2 linked regions of the Caenorhabditis elegans genome follow. The protein of the gene in region 1 interacts with the protein of each later gene in a pairwise test. Each region holds a gene or a part of one and is shown on either strand. Other genes may lie near its edges.

What was found.
Region 2: the proteins of mex-1 (region 1) and zif-1 interact in a two-hybrid assay, tested with the Caenorhabditis elegans proteins (one study listed by BioGRID).

The regions. Positions count from the first base shown.
Region 1 is NC_003280.10:11,965,129-11,974,328, forward strand, and holds mex-1 (C3H1-type domain-containing protein), read left to right. Parts: upstream 1-3,508; 5' UTR 3,509-3,520; coding exon 3,521-3,659; intron 3,660-3,714; coding exon 3,715-3,866; intron 3,867-3,922; coding exon 3,923-4,261; intron 4,262-5,052; coding exon 5,053-5,559; intron 5,560-5,601; coding exon 5,602-5,718; intron 5,719-6,583; coding exon 6,584-6,823; 3' UTR 6,824-7,219; downstream 7,220-9,200. Other genes in the region: rab-7 (Ras-related protein Rab-7a), read right to left, coding at 527-613, 956-1,163, 1,314-1,465, 1,512-1,577, 1,658-1,774; W03C9.5 (PTK2), read right to left, coding at 2,054-2,206, 2,255-2,304, 2,351-2,387; acbp-6 (ACB domain-containing protein), read right to left, coding at 7,233-7,414, 7,468-7,609, 8,515-8,538.
Region 2 is NC_003281.10:9,000,941-9,007,081, forward strand, and holds zif-1 (Zinc finger-interacting factor 1), read left to right. Parts: upstream 1-1,838; 5' UTR 1,839-1,848; coding exon 1,849-1,926; intron 1,927-1,973; coding exon 1,974-2,020; intron 2,021-2,067; coding exon 2,068-2,305; intron 2,306-2,351; coding exon 2,352-3,089; intron 3,090-3,138; coding exon 3,139-3,257; intron 3,258-3,299; coding exon 3,300-3,364; intron 3,365-3,410; coding exon 3,411-3,595; 3' UTR 3,596-3,899; downstream 3,900-6,141. Other genes in the region: putative 26S proteasome regulatory subunit rpn-6.2, read right to left, coding at 1-19, 71-558, 991-1,033; F59B2.15 (uncharacterized protein), read right to left, coding at 1,179-1,235, 1,288-1,335, 1,385-1,625, 1,669-1,682; Ras-related protein rab-6.1, read right to left, coding at 4,089-4,156, 4,204-4,264, 4,329-4,422, 4,470-4,581, 4,632-4,737, 4,785-4,897, 4,946-5,009.

The DNA of each region.
Region 1 (9,200 bases):
TAAATATTGACCCTACTCACTCACAAAACTTGTAAATTTTACCTAAAACATATCCTAGAAAGCCTAAAATTCGGACAATATATGCTCATTCTTGTGTGGATGTTAAATTTATATAAAAAGAACATGCAATAATTTCTGGGAAGGGAACTGAATTTCGAAAAAAAAATTAGAATTTCGGTGTAAAAATTTACAAATGAATGGCAAATATATCAGGGGGGGGGGGGGGGAACGAGAAAAAATGAAGAAAAAAAGTGAGTTTGAGTGAAAATGAAAAACTAGAAGGCATCGAATGGTGTGTATAACGGAAGAATTTCCCAGAAAAAAAGTAGATGGTGATTGGGGACCGGCAAAGGGTGACTACCGTAATCTGTGGGATTTTCTTTTCAAATTTTTTGGGATTTTTAGAAAGTGGAGACGAGGGAAGAGGAAATGTGTGTTGTGTGGATTGAATTGAATTGAATCGAATGTGTCAAAAATACATTTTGTGCAGATAGAGATAGAGGGCTCTGCGCGGAGCAGCACACGGTTAACAATTGCATCCCGAATTCTGCTGGTTCTGTTGATTTGGGTTGAGACGGATTTGGTCGGGAAACTCTGGGAAATCGTTGGTTTCCTGAAAAATTTAAAATTTTTAGTTTGCTTTTTGTTGGAAAAATTCAAATTTTTACATAAAACGCAGCATATTTTTGATATATTTATTTAGTTTTAGATTTTTCAAATTTTTTGAAAAAACCAGTTTTCTAACCAATTTCTTTGATTTTTAGCTTCAAAATCGCTAAGTTATGCCATTTTCAACCGAAATTTGGCAGTTTTTCTTGATTTCTGCGTACTTTTTTCACGATTTTAAAGCTATTTTCACTATATAACTAGTTTTTAATTACAAAAAAATCAATTTCCGCCCGAAATTTCACATTTTTTAATTTCACAGGAAAATCCAATTTCGCCGCATTTTTACCTGAGATTCTCTAGCCAACGCATCACGAGCAATTGCCAAAAATGCGGCTTCAACGTTGAGAGCTTCCTTGGCAGAAACCTCGTAATACGGAATATTTCCCTTCGTCTGGCACCAAGATTGAGCACGTTTTGACGAAACGGCACGCTGTGACTCCAAATCCACCTTGTTTCCGAGCAGGACAAACGGGAAATGGTCTGGATCGCGGGGGCTGCAAGAATTTGAAGTTTTATAGAAAAACCGTGGATTTTTCGAATTTTTTGGAGAAAAATGGTGGATTTTTCCGTTTTATTAGAGAAAAATAATGAATTTTTCAGTTTTTTTACAGAAAAAATGTGATTTTTCTAAATATTCCCCGTACCTAGCCTGAATCAGAAACTCGTCACGCCACGAGTCAAGCGATTTGAACGAGGCGGCATTTGTGACGTCAAAAGCCAGCACACAGCAATCGGCTCCACGATAAAAAGCGACTCCGAGCGATTGGAAACGTTCCTGGCCGGCTGTATCCCAGATCTGAAATTTTTGTGTAAAATTTTGTCTATTTTTGATAATTTTTCACCTGAAGAGTGACGGTTCTGTCGTCAATGTTTACGTCGCGTGTGAGGAAGTCGGCTCCAATCGTTGCCTGAAGGAGAAATTTGTTTATATTTCAGGGAGAATTTTGAGTTTAAACAAAAATTTCAGTTTCTAAAAAAATTGACAAACCTTATATTGATTACTAAATCGCCGATTTACATATTGATTCATCAAAGATGTTTTTCCAACGCCCGAATCTCCGAGAATGATCACTTTGAGCAGCGCCTTCTTTCTGGTTCCCGACATTTTTGTTCACTGGAAGCCTTTTTGTTGTGCTGCAAAAATCAATTAACTGATAAGAAAATGAATTATAGATTAAAAAAAGAAAGAAAAAGATACAGACAGGCGATTGTTCAACCTGTGTCGCAAGAACAAATAGTAACTAAATTGTGACGACGAAATTATTTAGAAATATTACATAAAGCGAAAATACAATTTGACCCGTAGCAAAAAAATACATGTCGGGAAAATGAGAAAAATGGTTAATAAATTTTTAAAAAAAGTATATAAAATTCCTCCAACAAGCTACTGCATGTCCTTGTACTTTACAATCTTCTCCGACGGATTCCACTTCCGATCGGGGCATTGCGATTCTTCATGTTGGTGTCGCAATGCTGCAGAGACGACGTGCAGCGGATTGTGCCTACAAATGGCAGCTTCGAGCGGTCCAGTGCCCGCCTGAAATGGAATATTTTCGATTTTTTGAATGAAATATGTGTAGCTCACCTCGTTGTAATGATTGGTTACCGTGAATAATTGCGGGTCTCGATTTTTCCCTGGATTAAAATAGTATTGTATCAGTTTTTTCGAGTAAAAACCAACCAGTGAACCTAGGAGCGGTTTGAATCGCATCGGCCATTTTCGCGTGAGGGCGCCTGTAAAATGGAAAGTTTCGCATTTTCTGACAAAGAGGATAGTGATGGTGACGAAAAAAAGAACAAAAAGATTGAAAAAGTGGCGATTTTTTGTGTAAAAAGGGGCAAAAAGTGCACGTGACAGGGCCGTCAGCTGGGAGAAATGGCCAGATGAGACACGCGCCGCGAGAGCCGCGACGCGTTCGACAGAGCGCACTTGTGACGAGACCACGGGAATTATCGAAGCATGGAAAGTGATTCGTGGGGATTTTGAGCAGAAAATTAGTTTTTCATGGTGAAAACTGGGAGGAAAATTAAAAACTTCAAAATTAAAGATAAAGCTTTAAAACAAACAGCTTAAACTAGCAAAATATATACTTTAATTTTCAAAATTTTAAATCCACCGAATAAGTGATCCCCCTAATTTTTCAGCTTCAGCTTCTCGTGCTTAGTCATGAGCATGCTCACGCTGAGCAGCTTTGAATAGTAAAAATAGAAGCACTTTTTGAAAGGAAAAGTACAGAAAACATAAAATTAAAATTGGGAAAATGGAAAAAGACTGGGTATTCGGGGGGTTTCCTGGTATTATACTTAGGAATATTCCTGAGTGTAAACTAGGCAAATAAAAAATTTCGAAAGATTGGAAACCGGATTTAGTTTTTTTTTCAGAGAATTTTTCATGATAGACGGGGGAAAAGAAACGAAAAAAAAATGGAAAGAAGCTTTCAGACATGCGAAAAATCTGAAAATAGATTGTGTCTCGAAGAGTTTCAATTTATATTCTTGTTTTCTAGAGTTTTCGACATCAAAAACCGAACAAATAAACAAGGAAACTGTCCGAAAACAAAGAAGAATAATAAAAATGAATCAAAAAGTTACGGTTCAAAGACGCAGCCACAAAAGTTGTTGCAGGGTCTCACCACGACTACCGTAGCCCGTGGAGCGGGAAATTTTGGATTTTGAGGTAAATGGCGCGAATTTCGCTCATTTTTCTTCATTTTTTGCGGAGATTTTGCCCAAAAATTCAGTTTAATTCAATTTACACCTTTTTTTAACGATTTTGTTCCTCAATTCCTCAATAAAACATGATTTTTCGTCGATTTTCCACCAAATTAATTAATTTCAGGAAAGGAGAAGGATGCAATCTTCAAATGGAGAGCATCACCAACAAAAGCAGACGCCGTACTTCATGAATGCTCCATGCGACCCGGCTCTTCTCGCGTTGGCTCAACAAACGTTTCTAGGCTTCCAACCACAAAAGAATATGTATCAACATGGTATTTTCTTTAGCTTCTGAAGGATAAATCGAATAAAATTAAAAATTAATTTTAGGATTTCCCCCGATGCTTCCCCACAGGAACCTCATTCCGTCGCTGGCGGCCGCGATTCCCGAAATGGATAAGCTAATGTTGGAGGAGCCAATTGAGGCTGGAAGCATGCCATATCGCAGAGCCACCAACAAGAATATCTCTGTGTCCGATGACGTAGGAGAAATTTGAATTATTAAATTCAAAAAATATAAAAATCTAATATTTTTCAGTCATTCAACAACATGCATCGGTCCTCTTCCTCATCGCAATATCGCCGTCATTCCGCTCAATGGGAGACTATGACTGATGACGAACGAGAGTCGGTTCAGCGTCAGAAGCGCAAGGAAGAAGCATTCAAGACGGCACTTTGTGACGCTTTTAAGCGCTCAGGCTCCTGCCCGTACGGCGAAGCTTGCCGGTTTGCTCACGGCGAGAACGAGCTGAGGATGCCGTCGCAGCCACGTGGCAAGGCGCATCCAAAGTACAAGACGCAGCTGTGCGACAAGTTTTCCAACTTTGGACAGTGTCCCTATGGACCACGATGCCAGTTTATTCATAAGCTGAAGAAGGTTGGAACATTTGAGATTGCAGGAATTCTCATAAATGAATAAAATAGCATTATTTTCTTAGGTTTTTATATTAGGTTTTTTTGTTTAAAATCTTCAAATTCTTACTAATTTCGTCGAAATTTTGAGCTGAAATTCGTTGAAAATTGCGAAATCTTTACAAATTTTGGTTATTTTCAGTGAAAAAGATCAAAATTTGGTCATTTTCAGTTAGATTTTCAAATTTTCGTTAAAAATCATCAAATTCTAAGTAATTTCATGGAAATTTTGAGCTGAAGTCAGTTTATAATCCTCGTTTTGTGTGAAACACATTGTAACTTTCAGATTTTTCGTTAAACTGTTAAAAGTCGCGTTCAGTTCAATTTTCCACAAATTTTTCGCCATTTTCACTGAATTTTGCCCCTAGTTTTGTGGGAAATCTTGCATTTCCTAAAAATTTCATAAAAATTCGAGCTGAAATTCGTTGAAAATCGCGATTAATTCTTTTTTTTTCACAAATTTTAGGTTATTTTCACCAAAAAAGACAAAAATTTCGTCATTTCCAGTCGGATTTTTCTGATTTTTCGTTAAAAATCTTCAAATTCCTATTCATTTTATAGAAATAGAGCTGCCAAACCCATTGATTTTTTAGTGAAATTTTTCAAATGTTCTGTTTTCTCGCTATTTTTTAATTGAAAAAATCAAAATTTGAGTCATTTTCAGCGCAGATTTCCTAATTTTTCCCGAAAAATATTCAAAATCTAGTAGATTTCCATAGGAATTTTTAATTTTTAATTAAAAAAAAATTCTTGCAGGGTCTTCCACTGAGCGAGTACAACCGTGCTCTTCAAGAAGGCGAGATCTCACCGGCTCGCGACGACGAGATCACCAATCCCGACGAATCATCATCCCAAGTGGAGGATCTGAGTGAGCTTCACCATCGACAACATCAGCAGCAGCAGCAGTACCAACAACGCTATCGTCGGCCACCATTCAACAATTTCCACGATATGTCGGATAGTGGATACAGTGCTCCTCGCCGCCGGCTTCATCATCAATTCGAGCATCTTGGTAGTGAGCAGCAGCAGCAGCAGCAGCAGCAGACACCAGCTCCGAAGATTGTCTATCCATCGATGCAAGTTGTCAATATTGAAATGGCAACTGGTGACGGACCTAAAAGGTCTGACAATCATCATTATCATCATCATCATCATCAACGTCGTCATATTCCGGCACCACCATCCACCGGTCCACTGAGCTCTCTCATTGATCAGGCCGACTATGAAGCTTCTATGGCAAGCGGGAAAATGTTCGGAAAACCAGTTAGTCCGCCTTTTTCCCGGATAAAACCGTCAAGTTTTGAGAATTTTCAGGAGAACATTCGCACCTATGGAGCCATGATCCGCGCCAACGAGGAGCACGTCGAGCGTAATCAGACTGGAGTTGTCAAGAAGGAACGGGCGACGGTTCTACCGAAAAGGGTACGGCATCCCCGCTGAACAATTGCTTCTAATTATGAAAAAAACACAAAAAATGCGATTTTTCAATGCGACCAATCAGCGATTCACACCGCCCACTTTTCAACCAATCATATATAGTGGGCGGAGCTGATTGGTTTGGCAGTTCTCTTCAAAGTTTAAATATCAATTTAAATCTCTTTTTACGAATCTTTTTCATTTTTTGTAGTTTTTTTTCCGAATTTTTTAGAGAAAAACCCCCATTCTCGCTTTTTTTAGAGAAACCACCAAAAAAATCGGCAAAGAATGTAAAATTCTACTTTAAAACCAGATTTTTCAATTTTGGCGAAATTCCCTTCAAAATGAGAACTGCGACCAATCAGCGATTCGCACCGCCCACTTTTCAACCAATCAGATGTAGTGGGCGGTGCTCGAAGACGCTGATTGGTTTTGCAGTTCCTTTTTGTGGTTTTTAATGAATTTATACTATTTTTGGATTAAAAAAAGAAGCAAAATTCCCGTTCTAGCTATTTTTCAGGGAAACCACGAAAAAAAATGAAAATTATTTTTTAAAAACCCGATTTTTTTAAATTTTGGCGAAATTCCTTCCAAAATGAGAACTGCGACCAATCAGCGATTCGCTCCGCCCACTTTTCAACCAATCACAAAAAGTGGGCGGAGCTCGAGGACGCTGATTGGTTTAGCAGTTCCATTTTGAATTTTAGAGAAAATCCCCCATTCTCGCTGTTCTTTCCAAAAAAAACCACAAAAAAATCCCTGAACAATGAAAAATCTACTTCAAATAAACTCCGCCCATTTCATTTGATTGGTTGAAAAATGGGCGGTGCGAATCGCTGATTGGTCCCCCTCCATACAAATTTTGTTTCAGGATCTTTCACTGATTCGCGAGGAGGATACACTGCTCGTCGACGGTTCTCATCTGAATATGACGTCATCGGCGATTCTGCCAGCTCATCAAATCCCTTCCACCACGACCACCAGCACATCATCTCCAGTCCAAGAACAGCCGTGGTACGAGAAGATTTTCGGGAAAATGACAATGATCCAAGAGGAATCATCGATGGGCGGTGAAGACGACGATGCTCACGAAGATCATTATTCGAGATAATCTGGATTCCTCCGTCCACCCCCTACCTACCTACCTAAAAATCTGCCAAATTCTCACAAATTGTCCCAGTCCAAAATCTCTTACAACAAGAACAAAAAATCCCCTCCAAATTTTCATGTCATATCATAATTTTCCCCCCACACCACCAAAAAAATGTCCATATTTTGTATTTTTGTGTCCCACCCCCCGGCCAATCTGAGCCATATTTATTTTGATAATGATTGTAAAAAGTTATTTTGTGATCTCTACCGTTTCCCCCCAAACATTCCCCATTTCTCTATCTCTCTCTCTAGTCTATCTCACTCTCTCTATCGGTGTCTCGCCACGATACCCACCGACCCAGAACGCCAAGAACAAATATGAAGAGATTTGAATTTTTATTCAAAAACAAAAAAATACTCAAAATCAATCAATAATCCACAGACCAAACTTCACTGTTCCACTTGCAACGGACAATGTTCCGCCCGTATTTTTTGATCATTTCCTCGGCGATTGCCACGTAGTCCGCGCGGCATTTCTCCGAATTCGCGCCTTTCTGCGATTTCCAGGCGGCATATTTTTTCCTGCCGACCTCGTCACCGGCGGGAACTGCTGAAAAATATAGAATGTTAGATTTTGGATTATTTTCCATTCGAGACCCTTACGATACACATCCTCATTTGGAATGTCCCCATGGAGAGCCTGTTTGTACAATGCGTAGAGTTTCAGCCGCTCTCGATCGGTTGGCTCGGACTTGAGCCGACGCATCTCCTCGGCGGCAATTTCAAAAGTTAGCCCGGTCCATTTCTGAGGGAATTGGGAATTTGATTGTTATTATTGAATCCTCGAAAAATTCGGTGGAGCGCGCTTGCATCTTTTACTATTATGGGGCGTAAACGGCCGCGAATCATGGGTCTCGTTATTACGGGACCATGAGATCATGAGAATGCCTATTACTGGCGCGAAAATATTGGCAGGCCGCGGCAGCGAGAGAGCATATGGCGAAGAGAGACGCAGGTCCCTTCGCTACGAGATATTTGCCGCCAGAGAAGTAGGCATTCTCATGATCTCATGGTCCCGTAATAGGTATTTGGTGAAAAATTTCGAACGTTTTCGAGAATTTTGCAGCGTTCTCAAAAACTACGGAATATATAGGAAAAATGTTTGAATTTACGATTTTACCGCCAAATTTGGACGCCATACCTAAACAAGACCCATAATTCGGGGGCGGAGCGTTTCAAATTAGCCGCCGAGCGCGTTTTCACGTCGATTTCATTTTTCTGGATTTAACAAAATCAGTGTTCTGGGCTTCCTCAATGCATTTTTCGCGCTCCATTGACAATCGTCAACGCGTGGAAAAGTGTCGTGTACTCAACACGGACAAATACATTTATTTTTACAACTAAAACCGAGCCGCGACGCGACACGCAACGCGCCGTAAATCTACCCCAGATATGGCCGAGGCAAAATGGCCTAGTTCGGCCTAAAATCTTCCATTTCAATTTACGAGGGAATTCCCTCCCTAGGGAAGCCAGAAATCCGTGACTACGGAAAAAAAGTTCAAATTCACGATTTTACCGCCAAATACCTAACGAGACCCATGGTTCGAAGGCGGAGCGTTTTAAATTTGCCGTGGAGCGCGTTTTCACATTGGAATGAGCGTCTCATTGAAGCGAACTTGCTGACCAGACTGAAATTGAAAATTAGCTCACCTTTTCGAGCTCGGAAATCGGCATTTTTGGAGGCGATAGAATTATTGTTGGCTCCCGCGGAGCACACACGCTTTTATACCCCCTAATTGGCTAAAATATTCGCGAATTTTCGAGGGAAATTGCCTGAAATTTGAGTGGAGGCCCTATATGAGATGTGTGTTCGATGAATATGTAATTTGAGAAAAATAATTGTTTATTTTGTGAGAAATATAATTATTTAAATTCGTTAAATAAGTTTCATGAAAGTTTTTACAGTAGAAAAGCTAAAAAATCGATATATTATGGATTTTTGAAGGCATTCAACGGTGAAAAATTGAAATTTAGTGAGTTTTTGGAAAAAAATTTGGGTGAGAATTTGTATAATTTTTGAGTAAAATAAAAAGTGGGGGAAATTAATAATTTTTATCCGTTGGTGTGTCGTTGCAGTCGCGTAGGGGGTTCCTTGCCAGTTGTTTCTCTGAAATTTCAAAAAAATTATTTAGTTTTTGACTGGCAACGAGCTCGTACGCGTCAAAAAAATACGATGAGAACAAAAAAAAACAAGGAGAGGGGTATGCGCCTTTAAGATAAGGATACGGTAACGGGGGGGAGGTCACTGGTCTCGACACGACAGTTTACTGCGAAAAGGTGTGCGCCTTTAAAGAGTACTGTAGTTCTCAATTTCACGTGTTTAAAATCGTTTTTTC
Region 2 (6,141 bases), on another chromosome or scaffold:
TCAGAAGTGCAGTCTTTGCCTGAAAATATATTAAATGCACTTTTATTTCAATTTTCTAGACATTTCTCACCTTCGCCAAGTTATTGAGATTGAACGAGCTCTTGCTTTCTTCGACAGAAACTTCAATTAGCAATTCACGGTCCTCAAGCTTTTTGAGCTCTTTTGAAAGGTCTTGAGCCAGCTTTTGAGCGTTCGTAAAGTCACGGATATCGTTGTAGAGACGAATGAGACGGGCTTGAAGACTCCGACGGAGAAATTCCCTCTTGTTGGACGTCGCCCAGCCGATGCAGTTCGTCAAGAGATCGATCTTCTCTTTCTTTCCATGATCAAGCGCAGGCCCGACTCCTTGATCAATCGTAAGCGCATGTTCCACGATATCTCTTATCAATTTACTTGCTCGAGCTTTTCCAACAAGATCGTAGAAGCTACGAATGGATTCGACGAGTGTTCGGATTCCAGTAATATCCTTTTCCTTAGCAAGTTGCCTCGAGTAAGACAGGATAAGATCCTCGCATCGCTTTACTTCTGCCTCCGATGACTTCGCAGTTTGGGCAGATACTGAAAATATTTAATTCAACCGTTTTTTAAATACTGAAAACATAAAACATGCTAAAATTCGCGTTTATTTGATTGAAAATCAAGAAACGATTCAAAGAATAAAAATACATGTGATACCGTAATCTTAAAGGCGCAGGACGTTTAATGGATGGGTCTCGACGCGGCAATGTTTTTCAAGCGGGAATTCAAAGACAATCTGCCCAATTTTCCATGTTCCTCGCGAGAAATCTCTAAATCTCACATTCCTACGTCGCCGCAAGCTTTCTTGTTTTGTTCCGCATAAAAACATTCATCTCTATCAAAGCCAATCAATCCGCCCGCGGTCCGCGTTCAGCTATTTTCCCGTTCATCTCTAGCCAGCGACATTGTTCATCCTATTCTCTCGCGCTCACTTGCTTCTCCGTTTTACTAGTTAATAAGAAACAAACAAACCTTCACTTTGTACAGCTTTCAGAGTGACTGGAGTAGCAGACATCTCAATTTTTTCTAATGCTCGCAAAAATAAATGAAAATAAATTAATTTTGATTCTTCATCGAGATTCGTTTCGATGACGTGGCACGTGACCTCAGAGGTCACGTGAAAAAACAATATAAATAAAACGTTTATTTTTACACGAAAATTATCTATTGAGCATAATTCGACGAGAGTTTCTCATTGAAGACGGAATCAAATTTTGCTGAAAATAAAAAAAAATAATGAAAATTGTTTGGCTTTTGGCTGCTTCTTACATTTGTGTCAACTTCCTTCTCTCCACTGTCCTTGGATTTTTGCTTTCTCTGCAACATAGGAAAATATTTACACTTTTCATGTTTTTATGTTTCCAACCTCCTGACAATCGTCTTTAGTGCTAATCATTTTACAAGTACACCCGCGATTCTTATGGGCGTCTCGTGTTCTCGGCGAGCCTGGCGAACGAACCATGTGGAAAATGTTCGGGTTTCGTCTGTTAGACACCTGCTTCACATCCGTTCCATTTTGATTTCTCCACCATGTCCATCCCCAATAAACCAAGCTCGCAACGACTGACAAGGAAAGAACCACTTTTTCGGAACTACGGATTTCCATTCTGCAATCCGATTAGTTATCGCTTATTTTCAATCTCCTCTCACCTTAGAATATTCATTTGAATGATTCAAATTCAGCAAAAATGATAGCAATACATTTTTTTAAAAACTGAACTATACTTTTTTTAATCGTTTATATTTTTAAAAACGTTTCACGTTTCTATTTTAATCTTAATTCTACTCTCTTCTGTTCAAAAATATGTATCTAATTACAGAGTGGACACAATGAGTGAGTGTTCCGCGAGTACCAGTCAGTTATCTACTTTCTGTGTAAATGAGATACCATGGAAGTTGGTTCCACAGGTAAAAATCTTGAAAACCACTCAGTTTCGACAAAACAAAAATTTCAGACTTGCGACGAATTCAGCGAATACGAGTTCATAGATGAAAAATATAGGTGAGGATCTCTAGATATATATCTATTAAATTTTATAACCTTTTCAGGCGCCTTTCTGACGTAGAATCGTTTGTCTGGAAGTGGTCGCCGTGTGGAAGATATGGAATTGATCTTCCGGGCGGTCGTGACGTCATTAACCAACAACTACGTGACCGTATGGCTGTATTCGATCTACATACGAACAAATGGACCCTATACACCATGGACCGTGGTGCTTTCGAAATTCCACGAGTTTGCTTTCTCTACTGGGCACGAAACGATATAATCGGCACAATAACCCTTGTAGTAAGTGTCCGATCTACCATACCTAATCCAAAAAATAAAATTTCAGAAAGACTATGAAGCAGGACCGGATGATGAAATTCCATTGAAATTCAAGCAATCATTCTTCTACGTATCTCACGAAACACAGACATTAGTGTACTCTGGTTCATGCAAGTACCGTACGAATAAAACAATCGTAGCATCTTATTGGTACCATATTTTCGAAAATCGACGTGGCGAACCGTTCATTGATCACAATAACTACCTGTGGTTGGTATTCTCAAACGGAGTGGATTCTCTGATTCTTCTTCCATTTATTCCAACTTCAACGTGTTTCAAAGCGAAATGTGTATCATTTGATATGAACGATATCGTCAGTCAATTCACTGGTATTCGCGTATTTCTCGATCCATTTGTATCATCTCACTACGTGCCATGGGTCTACAGAAATGACGTTAATTTTTTCATTAGGATTGATTCGCATTCATTTATCGAGGAGCAAAACCGGGACTATGGTCTAGATCCGCAAATTGATAACCCGGAGACGAAACCGCACAGAGGAGTATTTCAACTTCGTGTGAATTTGAAAGATGTCATCGAAAAGGGCGAAAAAGATGCGATTCATGCAGTTAATCCTGAAACAATAGAGACAAGATTCAATCGAGGTGACATTGAACTATGGCGAAAAATCAGCGATGAGCTCCGTCAAGAACATCAGAGCATAGCACAGCATGGCAAAATGGTTGTAGTACAACGATGGTCACACTTTACTGTTGATATGGGGCTCAGCAAGAAAATGAGAACCGTAGGATATGAAAATATTATTTGTTGATAGTTTATTAATTTAATTTCAGCGTGTTGCCGATTTGGACGCCCGTGATTACTGTTGCAGCCATAAGCCACGTAATTCGTCATTCTGCTGTATTGACTTGGACAGCGAGCGAATCAAGGCTGTGGATGCTCTCATTCTTGGGTACAAATTAATCTATTTTTTTCCTAAGTATTTTTTTTTCAGAACTGACGTGGTTCTTCCCCATCCTAGTGGCTCTGTATTCCTATTTCGATACAAGGAAAATTATGGTAATCCCTCCACCAAATAGACGTTTTCTTCATCGTAATTTTTCAGGGATGAGTTATTGCGAGCTTCCATTCTTCCAGCCACTTTCATTGAAGCTAAAATGTATTCAAGTTCTCAAGGAATCTGTCGAAATCGACCCAAGTTACTATAGAATCAAATGCTGCCTTAAAATGCAAGAAGAACTTGAAAAAGAAACTGCCGAAAATTTGTGCACGATAAATATTCAACAATAATAATTTCAAAAAACTAAGTAAACCCCCTTATTAGCATGACACTCCCCCCACCCCCTCTGATAATTATTTTGTATTTATATTCTATAATTCGTAATTATTATTTTTAACTAATAATTCCTTTATTTTTTAAACACATTCCCCCGAGTGATCTGATCACCAAATTTAGAATTTTAATGATTTATTAAACCCTCACCCCTAATTTAATACCGCCTGCAATTTTCTGACGCTTCCTGCTATTTGTAATGATATTACTTTTCATTTTTCCACCTGTTCAATTTTGTCAATACAGACTTATTCGATTCATTTACGGTACACTTGAGCACGATACATTTGAAACAGGCAATAGATTCGATTTAAATTTTGATGAGCGATGAAGAGGAAGGCAACAACGGGAACATAAGCGTGGAGTTGAGAGAAACAGTTGCTAATTTTTGAAAACCCATATTTGGAAAATAAATAATAAATTTGGTTGATGAAAAGCTGCGGATTGGATTTAACACGGACATTGACGGCCTTGGCTCTCTTCCGCGTCTTTAGGAGGATTCATGATAACGATGTTGGCTGAAAAAATTAAAATAAATCACTAAAATGTTTGATAAGAATCTTACGCTGCTCAGGCGTCTCCTCTTGGACAATTCCTGGAAGTGCCGTAGCGATTTTGCGGAAGAGCTGAAAAGGCTTATTTTTACTTTAATTGTCTGAAAATTTTCAGACGAATTTCAAAAATAAGTACCTGTTTGACGTTGTAGCCAGCTTTTGCAGAAGTTTCAATGAACATCACATTCAAATCGCGAGCCTTCTTTTCTCCATCCTCCGTCGAAACTTGTCTGAATTTCTTGTTGTTTGGAATAATTTTAGAGTGCATGTTCGTTACCTTTTATCAGCCAAATCGGTTTTATTTCCGACGAGCACGATAATGACGTCACATCCACGTTCGTTGCGAACATCATCAACCCACTTTGTTGTTTGATGGAAGGAATTGGCATCTGAAAAATTATTAAAATAATTTAAAATCTCAGATTCTAGTAGAACTCACTAGTAATATCATACACGACAACGGCAACACTCGAATCACGAATGTAAGATGGAATCAAAGATCGGAAACGTTCCTGGCCAGCGGTATCCCACAATTGAAGGCGAATCTGACAAGGTAATTAATTTAGTTTCAATTTTCTACATGGTATCTTACGGTTCTGTCTTCAAGATACATAGTCTTGCTGAGAAAGTCAATTCCAATGGTGGCTTGATAGGTGTTGTCAAACGAATCATACATGAATCTGGTGATGATAGAAGTTTTTCCCACTGAATATAAGTTTTTTTGAAACTAAAACGGCCCTCGGAATCACTTACCACTCTGTTCGCCGAGAAAAACGAGCTTAAACTTTTTGAGAGCGTTATTTGTGAAATCAGCCATCTGTAACTGAAATTATTTGTTTGAAGAGGAATTACAAAACAAGAACAAGGTACATCAAACGTTTCTTAAAAAATAATATGAAGGTTTCCAAATTTGGCTGTTTAAAGATTCCAAGAGCAAGAAAATTAAAAATTAAAAAAAAATCGGTGAGAAACACGAAACTTGGCGTCAAATTGCAGAATTCTGCATTTCTGCGTAAAATTTAGAGACCCGAAGGAGACCCGAAGAACTCGGAGGATGTCCAACTGGGGGGATTACCAACTCGGGGGATTGGCCCCGCCCACATAACCGTGGCTTGCAATACGCCCATTTCTGCAACTGCCGCACGGTTTTAAAACTGTATTTTTATCAATAGAGTGAGGATTAACAAGAAAAAATGATTTTAAAACCGTGCGGCAGTTGCAGAAATGGGCGTATTGCAAGCCACGGTTCTGTGGGCGGGGCCAATCCCCCGAGTTGGTAATCCCCCCAATTGGACATCCCCCGAGTTCTTCGGGTCTCAAAACTTAGTGTATTTTAGAGTCGATGCGATTCGTGGGATGAGCTTCGTTCGGAGACACAGGAACGTGAACAAATATATCAAGATTTTAACAATTTTTAGAGCGGAAACTCGAAAAAAAAATAAACATGACAGTCAATAGTTTGTTTGCTTAAAAAGTTCTACTTTTTACTCACGTTTCTCAGTTTTGGAACGAAGCCCCGCCTTTAAATTTCTGAGTTTAAAAGGTACCGCCCCCAAACGTTGGGTCTCGTTAGGTATTGGTAGCAAAACCGTAAGATTTCACTCGGTTTGAATCATTTTTAGTCTTTTTTGTTATGTTTTCATGTTTAAAGATATTTATGCCAAAATAATGTTAATAAAATAATTTTCATTCGGATATTAATTTTATCTCATATCTCATTAATTTCGACATAAAAATAGAAACTCTTAACATGTTAGGCATAACATAGAAAAAGAAAAAAAATTGAAAACGTTTAGTTTACGGTTTTCTACAGTACCTAACGAGACCCAAAATATGTGGGCGGAGCGTTTTAATTTGGCGTTGCAGCACGATTAAACTTTTATTTCAAAACGCAAATTTTTTTCTGTTAGGAATATGAAACTAAAGAAAAAGTGTTTCTTATCAAAAAT